Ovis aries: one gene and its partners. The protein of the gene in region 3 interacts with the protein of the main gene of each other region in a pairwise test. Links are inferred from orthologs where the notes say so. Each region holds a gene or a part of one and is shown on either strand. Other genes may lie near its edges. The genes, in order: NIPSNAP1, WDR74, RGS2, CTSB, LRFN1, DDR1 and PRKN.

Evidence for each region.
Region 1: the proteins of RGS2 (region 3) and NIPSNAP1 interact in a two-hybrid assay, tested with the Homo sapiens proteins (2 studies listed by BioGRID and IntAct). The link is inferred for Ovis aries from reciprocal best matches to the Homo sapiens genes RGS2 and NIPSNAP1.
Region 2: the proteins of RGS2 (region 3) and WDR74 interact in a two-hybrid assay, tested with the Homo sapiens proteins (2 studies listed by BioGRID and IntAct). The link is inferred for Ovis aries from reciprocal best matches to the Homo sapiens genes RGS2 and WDR74.
Region 4: the proteins of RGS2 (region 3) and CTSB interact in a two-hybrid assay, tested with the Homo sapiens proteins (2 studies listed by BioGRID and IntAct). The link is inferred for Ovis aries from reciprocal best matches to the Homo sapiens genes RGS2 and CTSB.
Region 5: the proteins of RGS2 (region 3) and LRFN1 interact in a two-hybrid assay, tested with the Homo sapiens proteins (2 studies listed by BioGRID and IntAct). The link is inferred for Ovis aries from reciprocal best matches to the Homo sapiens genes RGS2 and LRFN1.
Region 6: the proteins of RGS2 (region 3) and DDR1 interact in a two-hybrid assay, tested with the Homo sapiens proteins (2 studies listed by BioGRID and IntAct). The link is inferred for Ovis aries from reciprocal best matches to the Homo sapiens genes RGS2 and DDR1.
Region 7: the proteins of RGS2 (region 3) and PRKN interact in binary tests that used the Homo sapiens proteins (3 or more experiments, as listed by UniProt). The link is inferred for Ovis aries from reciprocal best matches to the Homo sapiens genes RGS2 and PRKN.

The regions. Positions count from the first base shown.
Region 1 is NC_056070.1:68,751,973-68,755,472, forward strand, and holds part of NIPSNAP1 (protein NipSnap homolog 1), read right to left. Parts: intron 2,537-3,500; exon of another isoform or gene 2,328-2,536; coding exon 2,267-2,327; intron 827-2,266; coding exon 699-826; intron 515-698; coding exon 469-514; intron 245-468; coding exon 150-244; intron 1-149.
Region 2 is NC_056074.1:37,680,990-37,684,997, forward strand, and holds the start of WDR74 (WD repeat-containing protein 74), read right to left. Parts: upstream 2,801-4,008; 5' UTR 2,778-2,800; coding exon 2,714-2,777; intron 2,633-2,713; coding exon 2,526-2,632; intron 2,441-2,525; coding exon 2,319-2,440; intron 346-2,318; coding exon 270-345; intron 138-269; coding exon 1-137. UniProt on the Homo sapiens protein: Regulatory protein of the MTREX-exosome complex involved in the synthesis of the 60S ribosomal subunit. Participates in an early cleavage of the pre-rRNA processing pathway in cooperation with NVL.
Region 3 is NC_056065.1:11,623,249-11,627,237, reverse strand, and holds the start of RGS2 (regulator of G-protein signaling 2), read left to right. Parts: upstream 1-1,189; 5' UTR 1,190-1,218; coding exon 1,219-1,328; intron 1,329-2,345; coding exon 2,346-2,447; intron 2,448-2,548; coding exon 2,549-2,610; intron 2,611-3,176; coding exon 3,177-3,343; intron 3,344-3,624; coding exon 3,625-3,819; 3' UTR 3,820-3,989. UniProt on the Homo sapiens protein: Regulates G protein-coupled receptor signaling cascades. Inhibits signal transduction by increasing the GTPase activity of G protein alpha subunits, thereby driving them into their inactive GDP-bound form.
Region 4 is NC_056055.1:105,603,799-105,607,747, reverse strand, and holds the start of CTSB (cathepsin B), read left to right. Parts: upstream 1-1,149; 5' UTR 1,150-1,241; exon of another isoform or gene 1,242-3,949. UniProt on the Homo sapiens protein: Thiol protease which is believed to participate in intracellular degradation and turnover of proteins. Cleaves matrix extracellular phosphoglycoprotein MEPE. Involved in the solubilization of cross-linked TG/thyroglobulin in the thyroid follicle lumen.
Region 5 is NC_056067.1:48,380,103-48,383,602, reverse strand, and holds part of LRFN1 (leucine-rich repeat and fibronectin type III domain-containing protein 1), read left to right. Parts: intron 1-1,700; 5' UTR 1,701-1,755; intron 1,756-2,168; 5' UTR 2,169-2,205; coding exon 2,206-3,500. UniProt on the Homo sapiens protein: Promotes neurite outgrowth in hippocampal neurons. Involved in the regulation and maintenance of excitatory synapses. Induces the clustering of excitatory postsynaptic proteins, including DLG4, DLGAP1, GRIA1 and GRIN1.
Region 6 is NC_056073.1:27,303,902-27,307,918, forward strand, and holds the start of DDR1 (epithelial discoidin domain-containing receptor 1), read right to left. Parts: upstream 2,801-4,017; 5' UTR 2,751-2,800; coding exon 2,652-2,750; intron 1,131-2,651; exon of another isoform or gene 938-1,130; intron 868-937; exon of another isoform or gene 511-867; intron 263-510; exon of another isoform or gene 1-262. UniProt on the Homo sapiens protein: Tyrosine kinase that functions as a cell surface receptor for fibrillar collagen and regulates cell attachment to the extracellular matrix, remodeling of the extracellular matrix, cell migration, differentiation, survival and cell proliferation.
Region 7 is NC_056061.1:85,693,519-85,697,018, forward strand, and holds part of PRKN (E3 ubiquitin-protein ligase parkin), read right to left. Parts: intron 3,074-3,500; coding exon 2,910-3,073; intron 1-2,909. UniProt on the Homo sapiens protein: Functions within a multiprotein E3 ubiquitin ligase complex, catalyzing the covalent attachment of ubiquitin moieties onto substrate proteins. Substrates include SYT11 and VDAC1.

The DNA of each region.
Region 1 (3,500 bases), on a different chromosome or scaffold from region 3:
CCTCGTGGGCCACCCCAAGGGCCGAGGGAGCCATCACAGACGTGAGCAGGGGAGGAAGTCCATGAGCACTGCGCAGAGAAGGACCCCTCTGGGCACCGCTGTGCGGGGGCGTGGAGGGCAGCCATCTGTGCTGGGGGTGGGCAGCTCACCTGCCTGGTCCTGCTCCCCGTACCACGTGTTCCAGTTGCCCACGAGCGAGCAGGGGTAGTCCTCATCCAGGTGCAGCTTGGGCAGCACGGCCTCCCTGTGCGTGGGGGGGCGTCACAGAGAAAGGGGAGGGCTCACACCAGCCCCCAGAGCTCCTGGGATAAGGCTTCCGACTCAGGCCCTCAGGACGCTAACATGCAGAGGCCGCACAGGACGTGTGGCTCTGAAACCTACAGCCCCCGGATTTGTGCACGGAGAACAGGGCCGGGACAGAGTCCCCCATCCAGGCGGGGCGGGGACGGGAGGGTTAGGCTCACTCACGTCAGGCTGTTGTAGGCGTCCAGACACTCAGGCTTCACATTGTGAACTGTGACAGAGGACAGAGAACGGGAGGTGAAGCGAGGGGAGGGGGTGTGGGAAGCTGGGATGGGGTAGCCCCCCAGGGCCTGGGCTCCCAGCACAGCTCAGATGTCCCAGACCCTCTTCAAGTCCCCAGCAGGAGCCTCGCAGGTCCCCGGGAAGGCAGGTCGGCTGACTCAGCAGCCACTCACACTGGATCTTATAGAGGTTGCTGGTCTCCTTCTTGGACAGCAGCGTGGAGTGGGCGTCCTTCCGGGGGTCCACCTTGTGTACGAAGAGGGACCGAAACCAGCTGCCTTCATTGTCCTTGGAATAGAAGCTGCGGGACAGAGGAGTTCAAGGGGCACCTGCTTCCGTCTGCCCAGACGCCGTGCTTCCCGAGGCTGGTGACCACTTTTCTGGGAATGGGGCCACAGAATCCCATGGCAGCTCCAGCGGATTTCATGTCACTGGAGCCAGCCACAGGGATCCTGGCTGCCCAGTTCGCTTCTTGAAACTCTGCAGAGCCTCAGGAGGCCACGAGAGGCAGCCCCACCTCCCGCCTCTCTCTCCAGCCTCCTTGCCTCCCCTTCACCCCCTTCCAAGAGGTCCAACACTTGGACCCTGCAACTGTATCCCTTGCCAAAAGGGTGAACCCCAAACACATCTGGCCTGGTGTCTAAAACCTGTGACAGCCCAACCTACGCTGGCAGCCTCCCCTCCGGTCCACCCCCGACCTGTACATCCTGCTCTCCAGGTGCGCCTCCCCCTGAACACACCAGATTCTTTCACTCTGCGCTTTCTTTGCAATTTCTGTCCCCTCTGACGAGAAGCCTGCACCCACGGTCCTCCCCAGTTCTCACACGACACCTGGCCCGTGCCTGATGCAGCCCCCACAAATGGAGCGCCTGAGACACACACGCTCTGTCTTTGAGGAGGTCTCAGTCCACTGAAAGAAGTGGACCTTGGAACACAGTTACAGCCAGAGGTCTCTGGGAGAGCCCAGATGAGTGAGCCTGATCTTGACCCCTGGAAGTCTGGGTGAGCTCTCCGATGGAGGTGATCTGGCCAGTTTCCAAATCTCCAGGGCTGATTTGGCAGATAAAGGCAGATAGAGGGGGTCAAAGGCATCAGAAGGCAAGATTCATTCATTCATTCAGCCAACACTTAATTGACAAATACCTGCCCTGTGCACGTGGCTGAATGAATAAATGACATGCCTTGTTCAGAGCAGGGGGACCAAGCACCAGGTCCTGCCAGATCATAACTGCACTCCCCCACACAACATCCCAGCCGGCTGGGGTTATGTTTGGGCTGCCAGAGGTGGTAAATCATTTTACTTAGCAGCAGCAGTGAGGCTTGTAGCCAGGCCTGAAATGCCAGCCTCCTGCTAGATGAGTTCCAGCCCAGGAGCCTGGCTGTGGGGGCCCCATCAGCAAGTTCTCTTCTTTTTCGAGCCTTTCCTATGGCTAGAATAAATGTCTTGCAAATCAAAGTATTGCTTTTCTCCAAAATCTGGATTGAGCACTGGGACTGATAAAATCTGAACAGCACCCTAAAAATGATGATATATTTGTATGAGCACAGAGGAAAGGTAAGTAAGGATTTGTTCCGAACTGTTTTTTTTTTTTGTTAGTTTGTTTGGTTTTGGCCACACCAGGAGGCCTGCAGGACCCTAGTTCCTTGACCAGGGAATGAGCCCGGGTCACAGCAGTGAAAACATCGAGTCCTAACTAGGCCACTGGGGAACTCTCAGCCCCACGCCGTTAATACTGCTTACCTGGGAGAGGGAAGAGGAAGATGGTTAAACTTTTCGTTATTCATGAAAATTTTTTGTAAAGCTAAAAAAAAAAAACAAACTTTTAAATATTTCTGAATTCATAGGCTTTCTACGGTTGTGTGTGTACTGCTTCATTAAAAGCAAAAAGGCACAAACTTCCCTGGTGGTCCAGTGGTTAAGACTCTGAACGTCCACTTCAGGGGGCTATAGTTTGATCCCTGGTCAGGGAACTAAGATCCCGCATACCATGCAGTCAAAAAAAAAAAAAATCTGAAAAAGAATATATATATAAAAAGTCATTATATATAAAAAGCCATTAAAAGTATATATATATATATATATATATAAATATATATAAATAAAGCCATATATATATAAAGCCATTCCTTTTCCCAGGGGATCTTCCTGACCCAGCGATTGAACCTGGGTCTCATGCATTGCAAGCAGATTCTTTACCATCTGAGCCACCAGGCAAACACTACACTTCAGTGTTTTAAAATTTTTAATTAAAAAAAAAAAAAAAGCAATTGTCATCAGATGGCCAATGCGGTCTGTGGAAACGGGACCAGAGCCTCACTATGGCTAACACTGGCTGAGGATAGCCTCTGCCAGGGACCCGTGATCAGCTTGTCAGTACCAGGATCCCGCTAAATCTACACAACGAGAATATAACGTTAATACTATTCATATCTCCATTTTCGAGACAAGAAAATAGAAGGTCATGGGTGGGAGGGTTAAGAAACTTGTCTGAGGTCACACAGCAAACGGGCAGAGAGCTCTGGAAAGAGCCTAGAGCTCTCTCCTCTAAAGCCAGCTCCCCCCTCAGGTCAGGTACCAACTGCGGGAACTAGCATCAGGGAGATACTCTAAAGAAGCAGGTGTTTTTTAGCAAAGCCACTGGTGGAAGGACCTGACCTTTGGTTTGAATGTAGAGAGGCTGTGTCCCCCAGAAGGGGTGGTGACCGAGAGGACAGCAACTCCTACTCTTTGTCAACCAAGACCTTTGCTCCAGGACTGGCCTTGAGTAATTTATTAACATCAGCATTGACCAAGATAAACAGCCAAGCGGCCAGCCCTGGAGAGAGAGCCTGGAACCTGGGTGCCAGGGAGTGTCCGGGAGCTCCCAACTCTTCCCACCTCCTCTTTCCTGCCTCCACATCTCGGTTTCCCCACGTGCCAAAAGAGCAGGGCGGCGCAGCCTATCTCCAAAGACCTTTTCTGCAGGTCCCAAGAA
Region 2 (4,008 bases), on a different chromosome or scaffold from region 3:
CTGAACAAAGGCTCCTCAGACCCCTGCAGGTCCCACACCTTCAGAGCATTCTCCTTCCCACCTGTGGCAACGATGTGGGGGCGTGCTGGGTCTTGGCGCATCCTACATACCCCAGGGCCCACCCTCAGTTCCAGGAGCTGAAAAGAATGAGAGAGCGGAGATGAGAGTCACTTCCAGATCCTTAATCCTCCTCCTCCAAAGCCTTCATTGGCTCTACCCTGGGCCCCACCTTCCCCAACCATCAGGATCAGGATGAGGGGGGATCTCACTGGGTCAGAGGATGCCTCCTTGTCCTGGTCAGGCCAAACTCGAAGAATCCCAGAATCCACACATGTGATGAGGGTGCTGCAGGCAAAGGGAGGATAGAGTTAAAAGAGCAGGGGTAAATGGCATTCTCTGTCCCCAGTCGACCCACCCCCAAATTCATATGAACTAGACTCCCTCCTACCAGCCCTGTTCCTAAGGAAGCCTCCAGGTAACTCAGGTCTGGGCGGGGCTTGATGGCTGTTATTTAATTTCTCGTCAAGCTAATGGTTTACTGGTCTTATAAGTAAGGAAAGTGAAGCTACAAAAAATTATAAGATTTGCCACTTAGCTATAAATGTCAGAATCAGAGCTGCAATCAAGACTGTGATACTGCAAAGTCTTTGCTATTCCACAGCTCCACCTGGGGCACATGGCCCTGCTGGTTTTTCTTGATGTGGTCACCAGGAGTCAGAGCTCTGAAAGCACTGAATTGGGACTGCTCTGGATTTAGTGTTTGGTCAGAATCAAACACCAGCTTCCTCTCTCAAGTTCCCTGTTCTGGGTGTCAGACCAGACAAGCCAATCTCTCCCCAGGATCTGTACAGCCCAAGCCCTCTGCTTTTTCTCATATCTGCCCACCCTCCACAACTAGGTTCAGGCTCTGGGTTTTCCTGGGCTGTGGCAACAGTCTCCAATCCATCTCCACGTTCCTGCAGGCTCACAGCTCTGAACACAGTGTTTCCTGCTCAGAAACCAATCATGCCTCATTACCTACAAAACCGCAGATTGCTCAACCTGACACTTAAAAGCACTTTGCCTTAAATCCCAACTTACCTCGTTCATCTTATATTAAAATGCTTCCTCATAAATTTTTAAAAAGGGGGAAAAAAAAGTTTCCTGGGCTTCAACCCCCAGTTCAGTTTAGTCGCTCAGTTGTGTCTGACTTTTTGCGACCCCATTGACTGCAGCACTTGAGGTTTCCCTGACCATCACCAACTCCTGGAGCTTGCCCAAACTCCTGTCCATCGAACTGGTGATGCCATCCAACCATCTCATCCTCTGTCATTCTCTTCTCCTGCTTTCAATCTTTTCCAGCAGTTCTTTGTATCAGGTGGCCAAAGTACTGGAGTAATGCATATTCAGGACTGATTTCCTTTAAGACTGACTGGTTTGATCTCTTTGCAGTCCAAGGGACTCTCAAGAGTCTTCTCTTTAACCCCCAAATGCTGTTTATCTTCCCTGTGATGTGCCCTGTAGCCTCACACCAATCCTTGGCCTCTGCTCAAGCAGGAGCCTCCTTCTAGAATGCCCTTACTCCTTTCTCCATCTGTCAAAATTCTACCCAACCTTCAAGGCCAAGTTCAAATATTCCTCCTCCCCCGCTCCAGCCTTCCAGACTCACCTGTCAGAATTAACCTCACCAAACCTACAGTCAGCTCATAGCCTCTCTCTTCACCTTCAGAAGAAAACTAAGCCTGCAACCCAGCATTTCTTATTCTTTAGGAGCTTTGCCACTTTGTTAGTGGTTGTTAGCCCGCATTTAAAAACATATTCTAAACTTCCCTAGTGGCTCAGTTGGTAAAGAATCTCCTGCACTGCAGGTGGTATCCTGCAGTGCCGGAAACTGGGGAAGATTCGCTGGAGAAGGAAATGGCAATTCGCTCCAGTATTCTTGCCTGGAAAACCCCAGACAGAGGAGTCCAGCGGGCTGCAAAGAGTGGGACACGACTGAGCGACTAACACTTTTACTTTCAAACTATTAAATAACGTGCTCAGGGTCATCCAAAAGGTTATTATGCCAAAAAACAAAACTCTGGAAGTAGCGAACTCTATGATGGCAGATACTGTGGTTTACCTAAGCCTTTGGATTTTGCCCAGTGCCTATAAACAACCGAATAAGTGTTCCATAAATGTTTGTTATAGGAAAGAACGGACGAAGGCAGGAAAAACGTCCCTGTCACGCAGACCAGGTTCATGTCACCTCAGGATTGATTGCCACTACTCGGTCGTCCAGTGGGAGCCTCAACGCTCTCGCTACGACCTGAGCGTTTCTGCAAGGGGTTTGGTCTTACCCGTCGACCTGGGCGAGGCCTCGGAACGTGCCCTCCCCTCCAGGACATTGCCTCTGGCCCTGGAACCTGCCTTCCTCGGTGCTGAAGTGCTTCACTGTCCCATCGGCACAGCCCACTAGGATCTGCGGGCAGAGGAGCACAGGATGGCGAGGAGAGCGAGGCGGCCGCGCCCCAGACTCCCAGCTCCGACTCTCAGCGGTCGCTCACCTGTGTCTCGCCATCCGCACCCCAACACAGGGCGCTCACCGCCTCTTCGCGCCGGGGCTGTCCTGACGCCGTGAAGTTCGCCGCCTGTTTGCGCTGAAGGTTCACTCCTGCGGGACACGGACGTCAGTTGAGTCAGAATAGCGAAACGGCGAAGCCCGCAGTTCCCGACGCCCGACCTCGCTACCCACCTTTCAGGATGCCAGTGTCGGTGCCAACCCACACATGGTTCCACGGTGCAGCCGCAGCCGCCATAGCGGAGCTCGGGAACCCAAGGCTCCCACTTCCGGCGCAACGCCTGCGTCACCAGTCTGCGTCTAGTCGGATCCGGAGGAACTCCATTTCTAGGCCTTTAAAGAACCGGAAGAGTAAAACATATTCTCCCCGCTAGCTGGTTTTGCTTTTTACAAAAATGAAATCTGGAGACTTGTTTGTGGAGATCTGAACAGTAACTTGACCATTTTACATTTGGAGTAGAAGGCATACTATCTCAACCACGATATGGGATCCAGGCAGCCCTAGTCTGTTCCTCTGCTCTAAAGCAATGTATGTTTTCTGTACAAGAGAAGAAAAGAGCTCATTTAAGGAACGATTCAAATCACTAATGAAGCGCATGGCTTCAACTTAAAGCGTAATAGGACAAAATGAACAAAGTTGGGGGAAATGAAACCGATGAGCTTCACTTTTGGAAAGTGAAGGGTAGGGGCGTTACTTTTATTTCCTCACATTGAGATTTGCTGATGGTATAAAACAGCACCATGGGCAATGAAGATCTACAAAATTAAAAGAAACAGTTTTTCCAAAGATAAGCTCCAACTTTAAAATCTCATAACGGCCCCCTTCTTTGAATGACTTGTCTGAAATAAAAGTCTCAGAAACTTTGCTACTTGAAATTATATCAGTAAGCATAGAGCATCCCACTCTTGCCTGGCAGATCTGTCCTCCACAGAGAAACAATCTTGAATACCACCTTAGTTGGAGAACTGCCAATAAGTTCCGGAGCTTAACATTCTAGGCAAGCCATGCGGAAACACACCACAACCACCATTACTGCCCCTCACAGACCCTAAAGTAAATCTGAACGATCTCTTTCCCTGAAATACTATGATTTCCCTTTATGAGACGTTCAACCATTTATTTCTCTGCTCGAAAGTCTTCCTCGCTGTAAGGCCCGGTGCACACCTACAGTTTTCAAGTAGAGGGAACTAGATCAGGAAACTTACCCGTTATAAAGAGGTGTAATAAGCACTGACTCGATAGACGTGAGTCTGAGTGAACTCCAGGAGTTGGTGATGGACAGGGAGGCCTGGCATGCTGCGATTCATAGGGTCGCAAAGAGTCGGACACGACTGAGCGACGGAACTGAACTGAAGCACTACTCAATATCTTCCCTACGGCAAATAACTTCTCTAATATGTGCACGTCACTATTTTTAAAATTGTAGTTATTTAGTTGCTAAGTCGGACCCGACGGCTTTGGCGACTCT
Region 3 (3,989 bases):
GATGCTTCAGGAAAAACCACCTGAATATTCCACTGTACAATTCTAATAACGGTATTTGAACTCAAGTCATTTTGGAGTGGCAGTTATCTACTTACCCTTACCAATCAAACCACTTAAATCCTGCTACAGCAAGATGATTTCTGACGAATCAAGACATTAAGCTTATTCAAAGAAGCTGTAAACGCCTCCCTCCCTCCACCCCCATCTCTCTTTTTTTGCCAATTAAAGTGTTCTGGCAAATTCTAAGCCAACTAAGAGTGACTCAGGAGGAAATCCTGCATGCTTGCTCTTTTACACTAAAATGATTCTGGTGCACGATAGCTGCGAGCTCGTGGTGTTTCCTTGTTAAGAGCTGTGATTTCTTTTTTTGTTCTGGAAGGAGAAGCAGCCAAGGACTCCTGAGAAATAAGTCTGCAACCCCACGGACCGACCCAGCCACGAACCTGCTGGTAATCAAAACCGCACACCCAGTTAAAGCACTTTCTCCTCTTCCCTCCCTGACCAATGTGCATTCCCCACAGAGCTCCAGGATGCTTGGGCACGCTGCAGAACAGATCACACCACTGCCCCTGGACTCTCACTGTTCCTCCCATTCTGTTTCCTTCCCCAAATTAAAAGGCGTCTCAAAGAACAGGTGAGGGTCAGTTCTCACATCAAGAAAGGAGGCGCGGAGCGAGGGCTTGCGCTCCAAAAACACATCCCCTTTTAAACCTAATTCAAAATAAGGTTACTGCATTCGGCTTCCCAATAAACAACCTTTACCTGCTTGGAATCACGGCTCCTTTGGGGGTCAGGAGCTCTGGAGCGCGGGGGAGGGAATGAGACAGGGAAGAGGCGGGGAGCGAGCGCCCCCGCCGTGCCTGCAGCCAACCTGGCTCCCTGCCCGCCACGGCCCTGCGACCCCACGGCCGGCCGCCACGACTGGGCAAAGGTCGCCTTTGACCGTTCAAAAGGGAATTTTCTCTGACCCCACACGAGGGCGGGCGTCCGGCCCGACTGCGCACGACGCCCGGGAAGCGGACGTCAGCGGGCCCCGGGTTTCCAGACCCTTCGGCGGCGCCCGTGACCGCGCGGCCCGCGGCCGCCGTCGGCCAATCGGTGCCCGCCGGGGGAGGGACCGGCGCCGTGAGCCCCGCCTTCGCCCTGCCTCCAATTATATAAATACGGGTGCCGGCGGTCCGGTCTCCCCAGAGCGGCGTTCCCAGGTGGAGGGAGATAATGCAAAGTGCTATGTTCCTGGCTGTCCAGCACGACTGCGGACCCATGGACAAAGGCGCTGGCACCGGCCCCAAGAACGAGGAGAAGCGAGAGAAGATGAAGCGAACCCTGTGAGTGCGGCTTTCTTCCTCCCTGACTGGCCGCCCCTGCGGACCCAGCTGTCCCGGGCGGCTGCAAACGCGGTACACTCGCGCTGGGCATGGGAACTGGGTAGCCTGCCTGCATCTCTGCAGGAAAAAAAGAAAAAGAAAAAATGTGTGTGTGTGTGTAAAAGGTTAATTTGTGAAGTTACGTTTAAACCTGTGTGGTGTAGGTATTTATTGAAGGACTCGGGTAGAGTTTAGAAACTGCAGAAAATTCTTGATGCAGGGGCGGAGATAGATGCTGGTTGGCTTTTTGTCTCCCTGCATCGAAAATGACTTCGGAGAATCCTGCAGCCACGCGCCCCCGGCCTTCTTGAGAGGCACCGTAAATTCTGATCTGCTTACACGACTGCTGGGATGGAGATATTTTTGCTGATCCTAGATATACTTTTAATTTTTTTTAATTGAACAGCAAGTCTCACCCACTCAAGAGTGTGGAACAAATAATTGTTCTGCATCACCTTCTTAAAATGAGTGCTGAAGTTGGGGGAGGGGGCGGTCAATCTCGCACACACACTTCATTGTGCACAGCTTCTCGGGTGGTCCCAAGCCCCCTGCTCTGAGAGCAGAAGGAAAACGAGCCTGGGCTGGCTCAGGGCAGGTCCACTGTGGGCTTCCTCAAGTGTGAAATGTCTCAGAATTGTAATTAACCGTTGCAGAAAAACTGGCTGCCTTTTGTGGGCCAGAAATAGCATCTGCCTTTGAACTATGCAAACTAAATTCATTAAAATACCCTATAATTGTAGGTCGTCCTATCCTTACTTATAAAACTAATAATTATGTTCAGATGAGTGGATGAAACTAGTGTGTTGAGTACTTAGATGCTGGATTAAAGGAGTAAGACTGACTGGAGGAGTTGTTTTGTCTTATTTGGCTTGTCTATAGCTACTGGGGGCGACTTTATTTGGTAAAAATGCCTTCAGCTGCAATGGCAGTTTCAAGTGTTGCTGCTAAGTGAGTATCTTTTTTTTTTTTCTTTTGTAGATTAAAAGATTGGAAGAGCCGTTTGAGCTACTTCTTGCAAAATTCCTCCTCTCCTGGGAAGCCCAAAACTGGCAAGAAAAGCAAACAGCAAACCTTCATCAAGTAAGTTGAAAATCTTGTGCTTGCCAATATGCACAGCTCACTGCTGAGCTGAAGAGGGAACCTCTGGCTAGCAGGAGCTGATGTGCAGACTTCTTTTGCAGGCCTTCTCCCGAGGAAGCCCAGCTATGGTCAGAAGCATTTGATGAGCTGCTAGCCAGTAAATGTAAGTTAACCTCTTGAATTGGATCCATTTCAAGTATCAGGAGAGTATGGTTTGGTTGTGTCTACACAGCAAGAGCAGCTTGCCCAAGGAGAGTTTGACTTTACAATCCCTGTTCCATGGGGCCTATTTTTCTCCTTTATTTCCCGGTGATTAACCAGGGAAATGCGTGGCTTTTTCACTCTAGGTGGGGAGTGGGGGGAAATAGCCCCAGATTGTAATGGCAGTTGCTGTCTCTTAAGGTTGAGTCAGCTTTTCCATTGCAAACAATGTTTTCAAGCGGCTTCATTCCCAAAGAACTTATGGCTCCCCTATCAGTTGTGTTAACAGCAAAGCTAAGTTTATATTTTTGTAGTAGTGTGCCAACTCACGCATTTTGCTGACTGGCATCTTAGTCTTTAAAGAGCTAAATTTTGACAATTACAGGTTTGAGTAAACTCAAGAAAATTGCTGCCATCTGGCAATAATAAAATATGGGACCAGGGGAGTGGGATTTCTAGGAAAACACATAAGGGAATATTTGAACACTCAATGCAGTTTCTGCATGCTTTCTTCCTTCCCTCCCCCAGATGGTCTTGCTGCATTCAGGGCTTTTTTAAAATCTGAATACTGTGAAGAAAATATTGAATTCTGGCTGGCCTGTGAAGACTTCAAAAAAACCAAGTCACCCCAAAAGCTGTCCTCAAAAGCAAAGAAAATATATACTGACTTCATAGAAAAAGAAGCTCCAAAAGAGGTAAAGGGGGAAAAAGTTCCTTATTTCAGCATATTTTGAACATCCTCAGCACCAAAGTGAAAATAATTTAAAGAGACCTCAAGTTAAAGGGGGGTGGGTGAGTAGGCTGTTTTTCCCCTATTTCTGGCTCTCAGTGAGGTTAATTATATTTCTTCACTGACTTAGCCGGTGACACTGGCCACACATTATAGTTTGGGGGTTTTTTTGTTTGTTTTCAAATACTACATATATTTCAACTTCTGACTCTTAATGTGGAATAAAACTTTGTTGTTTTCTTTCAGATCAACATAGACTTTCAAACCAAAACTCTGATTGCCCAAAACATACAGGAAGCTACCAGTGGCTGCTTCACAACTGCCCAGAAAAGGGTGTACAGCTTGATGGAAAACAACTCTTACCCGCGTTTCTTGGAGTCAGAATTCTACCAGGACTTGTGTAAAAAGCCGCAGATCACCACAGAACCCCATGCCACATGAGATGAAAGCAGGAGCCCAGAAACGGAGGACTTTTCATTTTTTTTCCTAAAAGGGGAAAGGCTGTCACCTGCCAAAAAGACTGACCTTGAATTCAGCCTGGGTGTTCAGGAAACATCACTCAGAACTATTGATTCAGAGCTGGGTAGTGAATCAGGAAGCTGGTCGCCTCG
Region 4 (3,949 bases), on a different chromosome or scaffold from region 3:
GGTTGTCATCCGCATTAGATCATCAGTGGATTCACGGAGCAGGGTGGGACTTGACCCCTCCACCCAAACATCTCCATCAGGCTCTCCAGGCATCCCCACCCTGAAGTAAACTCCAGATATAACATTGTGCTTGCTATGTACATCCTCTTTGGGACAGGCCACCTGGCACCCCTTCTTCGAAATGGATTTTTGCCTGTCATGCCTTTACAGAAATTCTGATGCACCTCTTGAAATTAGTATTCCGTGGTAATAACTCAGGCTTCCCTGGAAGCTCAGCTGGTAAAGAATCCGTCTGCAGTGCAGGAGACCCTGGCTGGATTCCCGAGTAAGATCCCCTGGAGAAGGGATATGCTACCCACTCCAGTATTCTTGGGCTTCCCTGGTGGCTCAGGCGGTAAATAAGAATCCACCTGTTAACGTGAGACACCTGGGTTCGATCCCTGGGTTGGAAAGATCCCCTGGAGGAGGGCATGGCAACCCACACCAGTATTCTTGTTGGGCTTCCCTGGTTGCTCAGATGGTAAAGAACCCGCCTGCAATGCGGGGGACATGGGTTTGATCTCAGGGTTGGGAAGATTCCCTGGAGAAGGGAACCAGCTACCCACTCCAGTACTCTTGCCTGGAGAATTCCATGAACAGAGGACTACTTTAAAAAAAAAAAAATTCTCACATATCTGATAGGGACATTCTATTAAAGCTAACAGCCTTTTAAGGCTCTTCTGGGAAGCCTGCTGGTTCGCTGCCCCCATCTCTGGCAGTGGTTTCTAGATCAATGAAATAAGGAAAAACTATCCTCTTCCCACAAGTAGGGATCGAGGCTTTGATACGCTGCGTCCTGTCCAGGGCGGCCCCGGGGAATTTCGCCAGGCGGGGTGAGGCCCCGAGGGCCGCCTGCAGTCCCCTTCTTCTCTGCAAGGGTCCCAGTGCGCCGGGGGTAGACAGGAGGAACTCAGAAACCCTGCTCCCGGGCGCCCCGACGAGCCGGTGCCTGGAGATACGCCGGGTATAAGCAGAGCCCCAGCGAAGCTGGGCGCGGGAGGACACGTGACGCTCCAGTAGGGGCGGGGAGTGTGTGGTCACGTGACGAGTCAGCCGGGCACGGGGCGGGGCCCGGCGCTGTACTTAGCTCGGGGGCGGCTGCGGGCAGCTACGGCGGCTGCTCAGGCACCAGCGTCAGCGGCTCCCCGGACACTCAGGGTGCAGGCCCAGGCCCTCGGCGGCGGCGGCGGCGGCGGAGCGCGGTGAGTGCGGGCGGGCGAGGGGATGCCGAAGCCGGCGTCCCGGGCCGTTGGAAGCGGGGACCCTCGGGGAGTCGCAGCCAGGCGAACCGAGCGGCATCGCGCCCTCCCGGACGTGGTTGTGATGAAAAAAGCAAGCTCTGCGCGCGGGCTGCCGGGCTGCACTGCCGGTCCGGGAAGCTCGTGCCCCGTCTCGGGTGCTGTTCGGACCCCGGGCCGGGTCACCCGACCCCACGGTCCGCCGTCTCCAGAGCTGGAGGCGGGGAGTTTGCCGGCGGACCCGAGGGAGGAGTCTGAGAGGAAGAGCTTGGCCTGGATCCCCGCTGACTTTGGAAAACCTCAGCCTGACTCCCCAGCCCCGTGTGAGCTTCTGTTCCTCGGTTTTCTTAGAAGATCGCTGAATTGATAGGAAATACTATCAACATCTGTCTTAGTTGTTTTCTTTCTGTAAATGATTTTCCTGGGCAACTTTCTGCACACAGTCACACAGTTCCAGGCACCCCAAAAGACAGGAGCTGGGAAACAGGGACCTGGAACTGGGTGGAACGGGGTGGGACCTACAGGAAGAGTTAAATCCACAGATGGAGGGAGGAGAAGCTAAGCAGAGGGAGGACAGGGGGCTTTAGGGCCCGGGGTGCCAGCCTCTTCCCTGGGAGTGTGAGGGGAGTGGAATGGCGGCCCCAGCCCTGCACTGCTAAGGAAGGGAGTCAGGCTTGGGCCCAGGGTGCTGTGGGAGCGGGGATGCAGGGCAGAGTCCCTGGGGCATCGCCTGCCCCTCCGCTGATGACTCTGGAGGTCTGGGAGAGGGAGCATTGTGAGGTGACTGAATCTGGGAGTCAGCCAGGCCGTTCTGGTAGATGTGAATTGGATTTGCTTGCTTTATGGGCCTTGGTCTACCCCTTCCCCAGGCACTGAGGAAGCCAATAGGCAGACACAGAGAGAAGGATAGGCCCCATATCCCTCTGAGACCCATACCCAGTTGGAGGGGCATGGGGTTCAAAGGGAGACCTAGCCCCTTTGGTTACCTTGGAAAAACAACCCTTCAGGCGCCTTCACTAGGGGCATAGCTGCCAAGGTACATCCATCCAGTTGAATCTTTAGATGCAGGGTGATAAGACAAAGAGCCTTAGCGGTGTGTCTGGATTGGTTAAAGGCTACTTTCCTTTTCTTCTCTCATAACGTTGTTAACTTCATGGAAGATTGTTTCCTGTTGGCGCTGGTAATGGTAACCCTTAAGCTTTGTGGAGAAACAGGTTGGGCTGCCCCACTCTGTGGCTTTCCCAAAGAAGGTGCCCTGGATTCACTCAAATCTCTTAGGGGCATCTGTCCTAGAGCTGGGGTGCTGCCAAGTGGAAAGGTGCAGATCCCTTATCTGGGGGTTTCACAGGCCCAGGGGGAGGCAACTTGGACCAGACGAGAGCCCTGATTCCAATTACCTCTGCTGCCGCTGGGTCAGGACAGCCCTTTTTCGGAAGGTGGAAGCCCTTTGTCTTCAGGAGGCACCTGCCTGTGTGTTGCTGACTCAGCAGCTTGAGCCGAGGCCCTCCTTATGGACTGGCTGTTTCCCCAACTGCTGGCCTTGGGAGTTGGGAGTAGGAAGTTGCATGCCTTTTAGGGCTTAAGATTTCTTTTGTTTCCACTGGCAGCTGCATTGGGGAGTGAAGGAAGAGTGCTTTCAGGTGAACCTGGGAAAGTTGGTTGGGTGGTTTTCTTAAATGTGGTGATGAGTTGTGATTGTGTTGAATATCCCCGTCCTTGGGAGAGAAGGACTGAAATGTTTCGGGATGAGAACCCACAATGTCTGTTTGTTTTTGACAGTTTGGCAGAAGGCAAGTATTGGAAATATGAGAGGTTGAACTGTATGAAATGGTGATTTTTTGTAGGTCAAGGAGCATTGAGATCGGGCACCTTGATAGAGTTCAGGCTCGGGTGTAGGGTGGTCGGGGTTGACAGCAGGTTGATGGATCTAGCTAAGCAACATGCAGGTGTTTGTTGGACTCACTGGGTATTAGGAGGCAGTTGTCACTCTGCCCCTGGTCCTGGGTCTTCATTTTTCTTGGTTTACACTCAGTGCCCTGGGTCTTCATCTTTCTTGGTTAACACTTAGGGCCCACTCCAGAGCTGCTTAAGCCAGGTGCTTGAGAAATGACTCCTGAGTCCCTCCATGGCTGATATGTTTACCTTCTACCCTAGTTTGGGTAGGAGGGGGATCTAGGGATCAAACATCATATAAATATTTGGCTTCAGTCTCTTTTTAAAGCCCAAGCCTCATCCCCACCTGCTTTCTGCCCTACCCACAGCTTCCTTGTCTCAGCCTTGTGTGTTTGGGTGGGGAGGAGGGTGGGTGGTGGAGTCAGGGCCTTCCCTCCTGGTCACAGGCCCCCTCTGCAGGCAGCAACTTTCAGCTTCTTTTCTGCAAGTCTGTGTCTAGTTCCTAAGGGACATTGTAACTCCTATCTGCTTTCTCCTCTCTGTCTCTCTTTTTTTTTTTTGATGTGGACCATTTTTAAAGTCTTTATTGAGTGTGTTACAACATTGCTTCTGTTTTATGCTTTGGCTTTTGGGCCACTTAGGTATGTGGGATCTTAGCTCCCCAACCAGCCAAGAATCTCAGATCCCTACCGCCTTGCATTGGAAGGCAAAGTCTTAATCACTGGACTGCCAGGAATGTCCCTGCTCTTCTCTTTCTAATTTTCCTGCGTGACTTTTTT
Region 5 (3,500 bases), on a different chromosome or scaffold from region 3:
CTACTCTAAGCATGTTACAGTGGATTATCTCATTTAATCCTCACAATAACCCTATGCTGTCATCCCCATTTGACAGATGAACACACTGAGGCCCAAAGGGAGGAAGTCACATGGCAGGGAATTGGGGTGTGAACCTGGGCAGTTGGGGGCCAGATTCTGTCCTGCAATGCCATGCTGCCTCTCCAGAAATGTTAGCTGTTTTTATTGTTAGTATTACACTGTTTCAACTTGAGTTCCACCCTCACTGCGGGCCTTCTGGTTTCATAGATAGTGGTTCTGAGCCCCAGAGAGCTTAGAGCCATGCAGGTGCAGAGCTGCGTCTCCTACTTCAGGAGCACCACCTCCCAGGCCAGGATTTCCTGTCGGGAGGTAGAGCAGTGTCCCAGAGGGAGTGCACAACATTAGTGGTGGTGGTGGGGGGGCGTCGCTCAGAGGTGAAGCGATGCTCTGACTTTGCCTCTTTTTCTTTTTTCAGCCGCATCACTGTCTTCTTCAGTCTCTTTCTTCTGGTCTTCGTCTGTGTAACACTCTTATTTTCTCTTCTTGTCTCTCCCTCTCTCCAACTCGTTGTCTCAGTCTCTCTTTTCTGTGTGGGTCTCCTCCACTCAATTTTTCTCCCTTTGCCACCGACTTGCTCCCTGTCTCTTCACCTGTCTTTCAGATTCTTTCTCTTGTCTCTTTCTGTCTCTCTCTGAATCCTTCTCTGTGTCTGCCAGTTCATCCCTCCCTCCCCCTTGTCTCTCTCTGACTCTCTTGGTCCCTTCTCTGTGTCCACAGTCCCCCTTTACCCGTGGGCTGAAGGATCAGGGCCATATGAGGCCACAGCCCCAAACTGCAGATTCCTGGGAGGTGGGCCAGCAGGGACTGGGGCATGGGGTGGGGTGAAAACAGTGTCAGGGACACCCCCTTCCCATCCTTTCCTCTTCACCCCCCACCCACCCCGTGTTGTGATGGGAGCTGGCATGTCGTGGGCTGCAGCTGCCGCAGGGGGAATCCCAGCCGGAAGGTTTTGCCTGGAGCAGAGGCACAGCCTGACTGTGTGTGTGTGTGTGTGTGTGTGTGTGTCTGTGTGTGTAGGCATGTATAGGGCCTTGTGTTGTGCCTATTAATGTGAGCATGAAAGTCTGCCCCCAGCTTGGGCCCTCAGCAGAGGCCAGAAGGAAACCAGGCTCAGAGAAGGACTTCCCAAGACTGAGCAGGGAGACTGGTATTTTCTCAGCCCCTCCCACCTTCAGTACAACCCCCATTCCCCACTGCCAAAGGTGTGTGTGGGGGTGTTACCCTTAACATTTATTGAATATGTACTGTGTGCTTGGCCCTATGCTCCGTGACCCCTATGAATGAGCTCACTGAACTCTTGCAACAATCCAGTGACAATAGTACAATTATCAGACCACTTTACAAATCAGGAAATTATGGCCTAGTTCGGGAAAATCATCAGTTTGGGTCACAGAGTTAGTAAGTTGGGGGAGCCAGGACTTGAACCCGAGTCTATTTGATTTGAAAGCCCTTGCTCTTAATAGTAGCGCACATTTATATGCATGGCACCTACTGGACGCTCAATGACGATGATGATAATAGTTACACACTAACATGTATTGAACACATTTTATGTGCCAGGCACTGTTCTGAGTATACCATGCTCATTAATCCAGTTCATCCTCACAGAGGTAAGGCCTGTTTTTGTCTCCGTTTTACAGATGAAGAAACCGAGATTCAGAGAGGTTCAGACACTTGCCCAAGATCACACAGCTAGTAAGTGTCAGAGCTGGGATTTAAACCCAGGGAGTATGGCTTTGAAATCCATGACTTTAAACCCCAGTCAGCAGTGATTTTTCAAAATATTTAGTGGGTACTAGAAGGCGCAGGCCAGGCCAGATGTCATCCCTCTGGTTGAGAGGTCATGAGAGGTCTGGGAGCTCCTGGAAGAGGGGCAGAGGCGGGGGTTAGACACTCAGAGGTGGGGCAGTGGTAATTTACCAAGCAGCGTGGAAGTGATGTGATCTGTTCACAAGTGCATGCCAGCTGAGGATCAGTCCTGTCACTGTCCTGCAGGACCCCGTTGTCAGGAAGGGACAGATGTGGGTCAGACTCCGAGCGGGACATCCCAGGGTGGCCAGGCAGGTGGTCAAGCCCTACGCCTGGCTGACCCTTCTCCTTCCTTGCAGATCTCACCTCCCGCTCCTCCCGCCTCCCCCCTGCACCATGGCTCCGGGCCCCTTCTCAGTGCTCCTCTCGCTGCCGCCTACTGCCCTGCCCTTTCTGCTGCTCCTCTGGGCAGGGGCATCACGGGGCCAGACCTGCCCTGGCCGCTGCATCTGCCAGAACGTGGCGCCCACGCTGACCATGCTGTGCGCCAAGACTGGCTTGCTCTTCGTGCCGCCCGCTATCGACCGGCGCGTGGTGGAGCTGCGGCTCACCGACAACTTTATCGCGGCCATCCGCCGCCGAGACTTCGCCAACATGACCAGCCTGGTGCACCTCACCCTCTCCCGGAACACCATTGGCCAGGTGGCGGCCGGCGCCTTTGCGGACCTGCGCGCCCTCCGCGCCCTGCACCTCGACAGCAACCGGCTGGCAGAGGTCCGAGGGGACCAGCTCCGGGGTTTGGGCAACCTCCGGCACCTGATCCTGGGCAACAACCAGATCCGCCGGGTGGAGTCGGCTGCTTTCGACGCCTTCCTGTCCACCGTGGAGGACCTGGATCTGTCCTACAACAACCTGGAGGCTCTGCCCTGGGAGGCTGTGGGCCAGATGGTGAACCTAAACACCCTCACCCTGGACCACAACCTCATCGATCACATCGCCGAAGGGACCTTTGTGCAGCTTCACAAACTGGTTCGCCTGGATATGACCTCCAACCGCCTGCATAAACTGCCCCCTGATGGGCTCTTCCTGAGGTCCCAAGGTCCGGGACCCAAGCCGCCCACACCGCTCACGGTCAGCTTCGGCGGCAACCCCCTGCACTGCAACTGTGAGCTGCTGTGGTTGCGGCGGCTGACCAGGGAGGACGACCTGGAGACGTGCGCCACGCCGGAGCATCTCACCGACCGCTACTTCTGGTCCATCCCCGAGGAGGAGTTTCTGTGTGAGCCTCCGCTGATCACGCGGCAGGCAGGCGGCCGGGCCCTGGTGGTGGAGGGCCAGGCCGTCAGCCTGCGGTGCCGCGCCGTGGGGGACCCTGAGCCTGTGGTGCACTGGGTGGCACCCGACGGGCGCCTGCTGGGGAACTCGAGCCGGACCCGGGTCCGGGGGGATGGGACCCTGGATGTAACCATCACCACCTTGCGGGACAGTGGCACCTTCACTTGCATCGCCTCTAACGCCGCCGGGGAAGCCACCGCACCCGTGGAGGTGTGCGTGGTGCCTCTGCCTCTGATGGCGCCCCCGCCTGCTGCCCCGCCACCTCTCACGGAGCCTGGCTCCTCGGACATCGCCACGCCTGGCCGACCTGGAGCCAATGAGTCGGCGGCTGAGCGCCGGCTTGTGGCGGCGGAGCT
Region 6 (4,017 bases), on a different chromosome or scaffold from region 3:
CCGGTCCCCTACACCCCAGCCCAGCCTGAGGACCAGCTCCACCTCTCCCAGCCCGTTCCTCGACTTCCACCTTCCAGTTCCTCCCCACAAGCCAGCAAGGCCCTTCCCAGTCTCTCTCAAGGACCCTAGCGTCCAGACTCCGAGGCCCTGTTTCCCCTGGCTACCTGCTCAAAGCCTCAGCGTCCTCCTCAGGATAGGGCCCCCTCAGGCCCAGGCAGCTCTGACCCTGGGTCAGAAGGTCTGATCGCTGGCAAGGACGGGCCTGGACAGGTGAGCAGCGGGGGTGAGGAGGAGGACAGGGAGGCAAAGAGAAAATCACACAGTCAAAAAGGAGCGGTACCGAGAAGCTGGGTGCCAAGAGACTGAGTAAACAGATCCAGTGAGAGAAAGAGCAGAGAGCTGCTGGGTGAGGTGGGCAGGACAGAAGAGCTGTGCGGGGAGGTGTTCCACCCCGCTCAGGGGCTACCGGGGGCCCACCACCTCTCTCCACCCCCCACACCTGCCAATCACCTGCAGGGTAGGGTAGGGCCTCACGCCACTGCAGATCTCTGCCCCATTGCACCTCAGAGCAAGTAGACAGAAACTCACCCTACGTGCAGACCCAGACAACAGTCCCAAGAAAGAAACACGACGTCCTGGATAAGTACACAAGGGCACTACCAGGTAGAGATGGGCCCTTGGGAGAGGGGAAGGCACACATGGGCACGTACTCCAACCCCGGGTCAACCCACAAACCTTCGGGAACCCCAACTGCTAAGGGACTCACTAACAGACCGCCCCGTAGAATTGCCTCTCTGTCCCCTCCCACCAAAGCCCCAGGGTTCCCCGGCGTACCTTCCCCCTCCAGAGTCGGCCGCAGGGGAATCTGGGCCCGGAGAGGCCGGGCCGGGGGTGGGGCCCGCCGGGGGTGGGGCCAAGGTTTCCCGAGTAACCTCACCTGGGTGGACTCTCGGCCCCTCCTTCCCGGGGCTGTTGTTCCCGGGAAGCCCCGGGCGGGCAGCCGGGCTGAGCTGCCGCCAGATCCCTCAGGGAAGGAGTCACAGCCCCTCACACCCCAGTGGGACATTCCACACCCCAGGCGCACGCTGACCCTGGCCAGGTGGCATGGCGGTGCCAGACCGAGGAGTCCACTGCAGAGAGTCAAAGAAACCATAGACTCCTGAAACCCTTGCTCCCTCTTGTCCCCAGGAGACATTCCTAGTTGGTGATGCCCACCTCATCCCAGCCCAGAGCTAGAGGAGTGGGAGGGATGCAGGACTGGGGCCCAGTGGAGTCAAGTGACAGCGGAGAGGGGGCTGGAGCCGGCTGGAATGCAAGGCTCTGAGCCGAGACTCTCAGGGGCCAGAGAGGGAAGTCCCTGCCATCCAGGCCCCCAGAGTAGTACCCAGGACTGAGTGTATCCACACACCTAGTGTATCCACACAGCGGTCGGTGGTCCCCAGAGCCCGCCCACATCTCCCGAATCACTCCCAACTCCAGTAGGCCCCCATGTCCTCCTGAGCCCCCAGAGGACCCTCTACCCCTCCTCCCTCCACGTCCTTCCATTCCGGGCTTCCCTCCCCTTCAAGCCAATGGCTTCCTGCTGCCCAGGAAAGAGGAGGAACAGCTGGGGAAAATGTGAGGCGAAGCACGTAGGGGAGAGCAGCTCCAGCCTGCAGACCACCGGGCCACTACAGGGAAGCCCAGCAGGACCAGTGAGAGAGAGGATGGGCCCTCCACACAAGTTGCTGTCCCCTTCCTGGGAGAGGCAGCTGCCTCTGGGACAAGCAGGCTGGGTCAGCAGCTGGGGAGAGAATCCTCTGGGGGGTGGGGGGGCAGGGTGAGGGGGTGGAGAAGGCCCGGAGTGTGAGACAGGCCTTGATGCCACCAAGTCCACTTGGGAAACTGAGGCCTGAGAGGAGGAGGAAGAGATGATGTAGCACAGGGAGGAAGATGGGACAGAGCTCAGCTGTGGGCAGCCTGGGGGATGGAGAGAGACGAGGCCCCGGCAAGAGAGTTCTGAGAGCAGGGGATAAACTAGGCTGCGGTAGAGGGGAACTGGGGATCGGAGAGAGAAAGGGAGAATGAAGACAGAGGGCGCTCAGCAGAAGATGGGAAGACCAGAGTTTGGGGAGAAGGGCTGGGCAAGCGAGAGAACTGGAGTGGAGGCAGGAAAGGGTGGGAGGGATGCTCAGAGAGGAGGACAGAGAAGAGTATCTCCTCCTCAAAAGGGGAGCAGATACACCAAGGGGAAAAGAGGCGGCTGGAATCCAGAGATGGGAGAAGAGGAAGACCGAAGCATAGGGATTGAAAGGAAGGGACCTGGGAGAAGAGAAGAGTAAGGGGCTGAAATGGGAAGGGAAAACTAAGGGACAGACTAGGGGGACAGGGGCCCCAATTCCAAAGGTTGAAGTGAATCTGCCTCCGGGTGTCAGGGCACGAGGGTCCCAGAACTCCCCTTGGAAACAGCCTAGCCCTAGCCCATCTGCCACACCTCGGCCCCAACTCTGTTCCCCATCCTTTCCCTCCTCCCCACCCCGTGGGCTCGGCTGCACTCCCCTCCTCCCACCACACCTCCAGCCTGGACCACCCGGTCCCTCCCTGAGAGGGGAGGGCCCAGCGGCAGTCCCCCTCCTGCCCTCCCGGTTGGGCTCTGGCTTCCTCCCTCTCACCTCCAGCTCAAGGTTCTCCTGGGTTGCAGTCCCCCCCGTCTCAGGGCTTTGGGGTTCCGGCTCTGGGGCTGCCAAGGCCGCCTGGCTTTGTCCGCCCATCCGGAGCCCCAGGAGCAGCTGCCCGGGCCAGCTGCGGCCGGCTTCGATGTGACCATGGCAACGCAGCCCGCTCCCCTCGCCGAGCCTCCCAGCCCCCGCAGAGAGGGAGGGAGCAGCCAGGCCAGGGAGAAAGGGAGGGGAGGCCGAGGACTGTGGACCGCAGGGACCACAGACAAAGACCCCAGACAAAGGGAGGCGAAGGGAGGCCGCGAGGCAGTGAGGGAGAAAGCAGCAGCAGCAGCCTGAGGCTGAGAGGCAACAGGCATTAGGTCCTGCTGAGCGGGGAGAATCCAGGAGGACAAACGGACAGGAGGTGGGAGAAGAGATTAACAGTGGTCCTTCCGAGGCCTCCTTCTGGGTCCCTAGCAATTCATTTCCTTCCCTCAGGAATTCTCTCTTCCCTTCTGGGGAGAACAAGAATACCAGCATCCTAGTTGGCTACCCCCAAAGTATTATACGGTGAGTGGCTCCCGCCAGTTACACCAAAGCATAAGAAGCACCCAGGCCCTATAGGCACACTCAAGTTTTCAAGAACAAGCCCACTTTCAGATATTCTGACCGGTCATCTTTGAAGTATAAACAGCAACGTCAGTCAACATGTACTCTGATTCTTGACTTATAAAATATGCTCCCCAAAGCCAAAGGGGCCCGATTAGGCCTGGAGGGAGTGGAGCCAGGAGGGAACAGTGACAAGGTCTCACGTGAGAGGAAGCAAAGTACCAAAAGGGAAGGAGAGAGAGCCAGGCTTTGCTGCTGAGAAGCAAGGATCGAAACTGCCATCCGCCATCTGCCATCTAGCTCCTCTGGCTGAGTCCTACAGCCTCTCAGTCTCCTCATCAGAAAGATGGCATTAAGTACCCGATCCCGGGGTCTGCTGAGATGATAATGTGGGATGGCATACAGGCTCCACTGATGGAGACAACCATCAAAACCCCACTAACAGAATCTCCATCTGTGTCTTTTCTTATGGGTCACTTGGGTCCCTGAGTCCCACCTGCCAATTCATCCTACAGTTATGAAAGGTTTGTGCAGGGCAGGGTTCTGACAGTAAGAACTGCGAAGGATACATTGAGGAATACAACCCCCTCTGCATCCTCTGGGCATTTACAGTCTAGAAGGGGAGCCAGGCAAGTATATACATGTGTAAAATATGTATTTATATATGTATATGTGTGTGTGCTTGTATATGTACAGAATCACAGAAGACACCCTGACCCGTGCTATAGTCAGAGCTGGAAGGGGCTGTGGGAACCCAGGAGAGGGGCAG
Region 7 (3,500 bases), on a different chromosome or scaffold from region 3:
GATTCTCCAGGCAAGAACACTGGAGTGGGTTGCCATTTCCTTCTCCAATGCAGGAAAGTGAAAAATGCAAGTGAAGTCGCTCAGTCATGTCTGACTCTTAGTGACCCCATGGACTGCAGCCTACCAGGCTCCTCCATCCACAGGATTTTCTAGGCAAGAGCACTGGAGTGGGGTGCCATTGCCTTCTCTCGACATAATGTTCAGGGAAAGAAATTCACTACATAAAATTGCATTTTCACACCGATTACAACTGTATCAAAGTCAGCCATGCGCACAGTCAAGGGCTGTGAAAGGCAGGACACAGTGCGGAAGCTGCTGCTCCTCCATGAACTCCCAGTCTCTCCTTCCCTCCATGACCAGACGAGCTGTGCCTGTGACAAAGCCCGCGATTCACACTGAACCCCTGCAAGCTGACTTTCTCCAGCTACAGTCCTGGCCCGAAAGCCCCTAAGTCACCACCACTGTCACCAAGCCCAAAGGCTCTTTGCTTCCTTGTCCTCCATGTTTTCACGGCACATACATTCTTTACTAGTGATTTTCTTTCCCCAAATTATCCATGAAAATGCCAGCTGGATGCACAATGCCTCGTATATCGGCTCCTCTCCTGTTACCGGAGGAACTGCTCGTGCCGTACGCTCTGCACCCCGGCAACTGAATCTGTTCCAGTCACTGCGGTACTTACCTCCATGCAGAGAGTGCTCAGAGCAAGCCCTGAGCTCCCCACCTCAGTGTGACTGCCTGCCAGCATCTCCCCCTGGCATTAACTCTTGCAATCTGGGAAACTCCCGCCAGTGGTGAACCGGCATTTCCAGACTCGCTTTTCCCTCCATGGCATCCTATTTTGTTCTCCATCTCCTCGCATGAAACGTCAATGTCACATGGGTCAAAGCTTTCTAAAACACAGCTCCCAATTCCCCTGTCACACACCTTCAGCACCTCCTCTAGGTTCTACAGGAATAGGACCCTTTGCTTGCTCCCACACACCTCTCACGCTCATTCTTCATCTCCAGAATCCTACTTGAGTTTCAACTCACCCTGAAGTCTTTATTGGTGACATTCACTCAGCTGTTTCTCCTACATCTTTAAAATTTCATAATACTTATATTTCAGTTTTTATATGGCAGTTATCGTGTTTGACACCCTTATGTTATAGCTATTAGTTTGAGCCCCATGAAACTGCTGATATTTTTAACCTATGTAGTTCAATCTAGTATTACTGTTGATTTTAGAGGGCCTAAGTCAACAGCAGTCTCTAAGAAAATAGCAGTGGGTACTGACTTTCTTTGGGATCCTCTCAGAAGCCCAGAATACTGGAAGTGTTGTGAAAATCAAGAATCTTAATGAACCCATCCAGATATCTATATTTGTATCTATCCATCTGTAGAAATCAACTGTCTATAGTAATTGGTATAACCTATCACCTCCAGCGGTAGAGGTGAGAAACTTTAGAACCTGAAAACTTCGGATAACAAAATATTTTGGTTCAAGAAGCTGTTTTAAAATAATTTATGATGGGAACATCCTTGGTTTTAGAGCTTGGCAGGTACAGTAAAAAAAAGCTTTCTAGGTGACTGAAATTTAAAAAAAAAAAAAAAAAAAAAAAACACCAAAACACTTTTCAGCACAGGTGCTTCCCTTATAAACACAAATTGCCTAAAAGCAAAGCACAGCACCCTGTGTGCACGGAGCAGAGCAGACTGCTGTCAGAGAAGGGGTGCTGGAGAAGAGGGGGCAATTCACATTTCCATAGGGCTCTCTTACACCCAGATCCGAAAGCCTTTCTTAAAGCAGTAAACATCATCACCAAAAAGAGACAGCCATAGGATGTCAATAAAGTAGGGACTGGGTAAAGACACAGCACCCCACCACCACCACTGTTCACAAGAGCAGGCCCCCAAACAGCTGCAGGCAGAAATGCAACTCATCTGAGCTGGTGAAAAAAGGGGGACGCGGGGAATGTGTTTGGGGTTCTTCAGGATCACCTGAACAGTTCACAGAAAGCAAGTGGGTTTTCATACTTTCTCAGAGAGTGACTTCAATCCGTATTGGGGCCTGTTTGCTGGCTTCCCCAACACAAGACTGGTCTCCACTCCCAGAGGAAGGCACTGCTCCCCAATGGCCTGCCCAGTTCACCTCTTCCCCTGCGGAAATACCAGCTGGGAATGAAGCCCCACCCCCACTCCATGAAAAGATACAGCGCTGTGATGCTATGAGGAGCCCCACGGTGCCAGGAAAGCGTCAGGGACAGGAGAGTAAAACACTGGCTGCACCCTCCCCAACATTTCAGCGGCCCATTCTGGGGAACTTGTTACTGAAACTTGGAGAAATTAAACACACAGGTTGACGTTCGCGGTGCGTGCGTCCTCCTCCCCGCCGCCTCGGGCGCTGATGGGCAGGGAGCTCGCGAATCTGCTCCAAGGCCCTGAGCCCCAAAACCTCCTCCCATCCTGAGCTGCGGCGGCAGACCCGGGACCATCCTCCAGGGGTCACAATTGGGTTGCAGATCCCTCCCGGCACAGTGACTGAGCAGCCGGATCTGGGACAATTTCTGTGACTCCTTCATTAAGATTCAAGTGGAATAAGTACGGTAGAAATTGAACAGACCCAGAAACGGTGCCTTGCTGCTCCTCTAGTCAGTAAACATTTATTCACTAAGCCCAGTCTGTGTGCTCGCTCTCTCTCTCTTCTCTCTCCCAGTCACAGTTGTTCTCCAATCCGTACCTGCTTGCTGTTTTAATGCATAATTAAGAAGGTCAGAATTAATGAAGCGGTGTGGAGTAAAGTTCAAGGAATCCCTAGGCACTATTTATTCTATTAGATCTCAGGCATGAATGTCAGCTTGGCTGCGCAAGCGGCATAAGCAATGGGGCTGGCCGCAGCCCAGGAACCCTCCGCCCAGGGAGACTCACCTGCACTGTCAAGCCATTCCGAAGCTCCTTCCCTGCGAAAATCACACACAGCTGGTCAGCTGGAACCCCCTGTCGCTTAGCAACCACCTCCTTGAGCTGGAAGATGCTGGTGTCAGAATCGACCTCCACTGGGAACCCGTGGTTAGAGTTGAACCTGACAAACACTGGACCAAAAAAAAAAAAAAACAACACACGAAGCTTTAGTCAAAACCCTTAAATGGCAATTGCATTTAATGGCAATCCTTAATGGCAGTGCAATATTTCTGAATTGATTTGCCCCTCTCCTGCCCTTTGATAAGCAGTGTGCATTTTCTTTCACTTATAAAGCTTAAGGCTATGGAGCAACATTTGGAGAAAAATGGAGTTATCCTATGGGATTTCCCTTTCATATATTAGGCAGTGACCCACAAACAAAATTGCATGCTCCCTTTGACATCGTCCTGCGAAACAGGGGGACTCAAGCAGAACACTTGCTTGATTGGAATTGTGAGATTCCCAAGAGTTTATCCAGGAGATTCAGCTCTGACAGCCTGTACAAACTCACACTGCCTCTACGGCATCCCCCTTAATAAAAAATCAAAGGCGTCATGT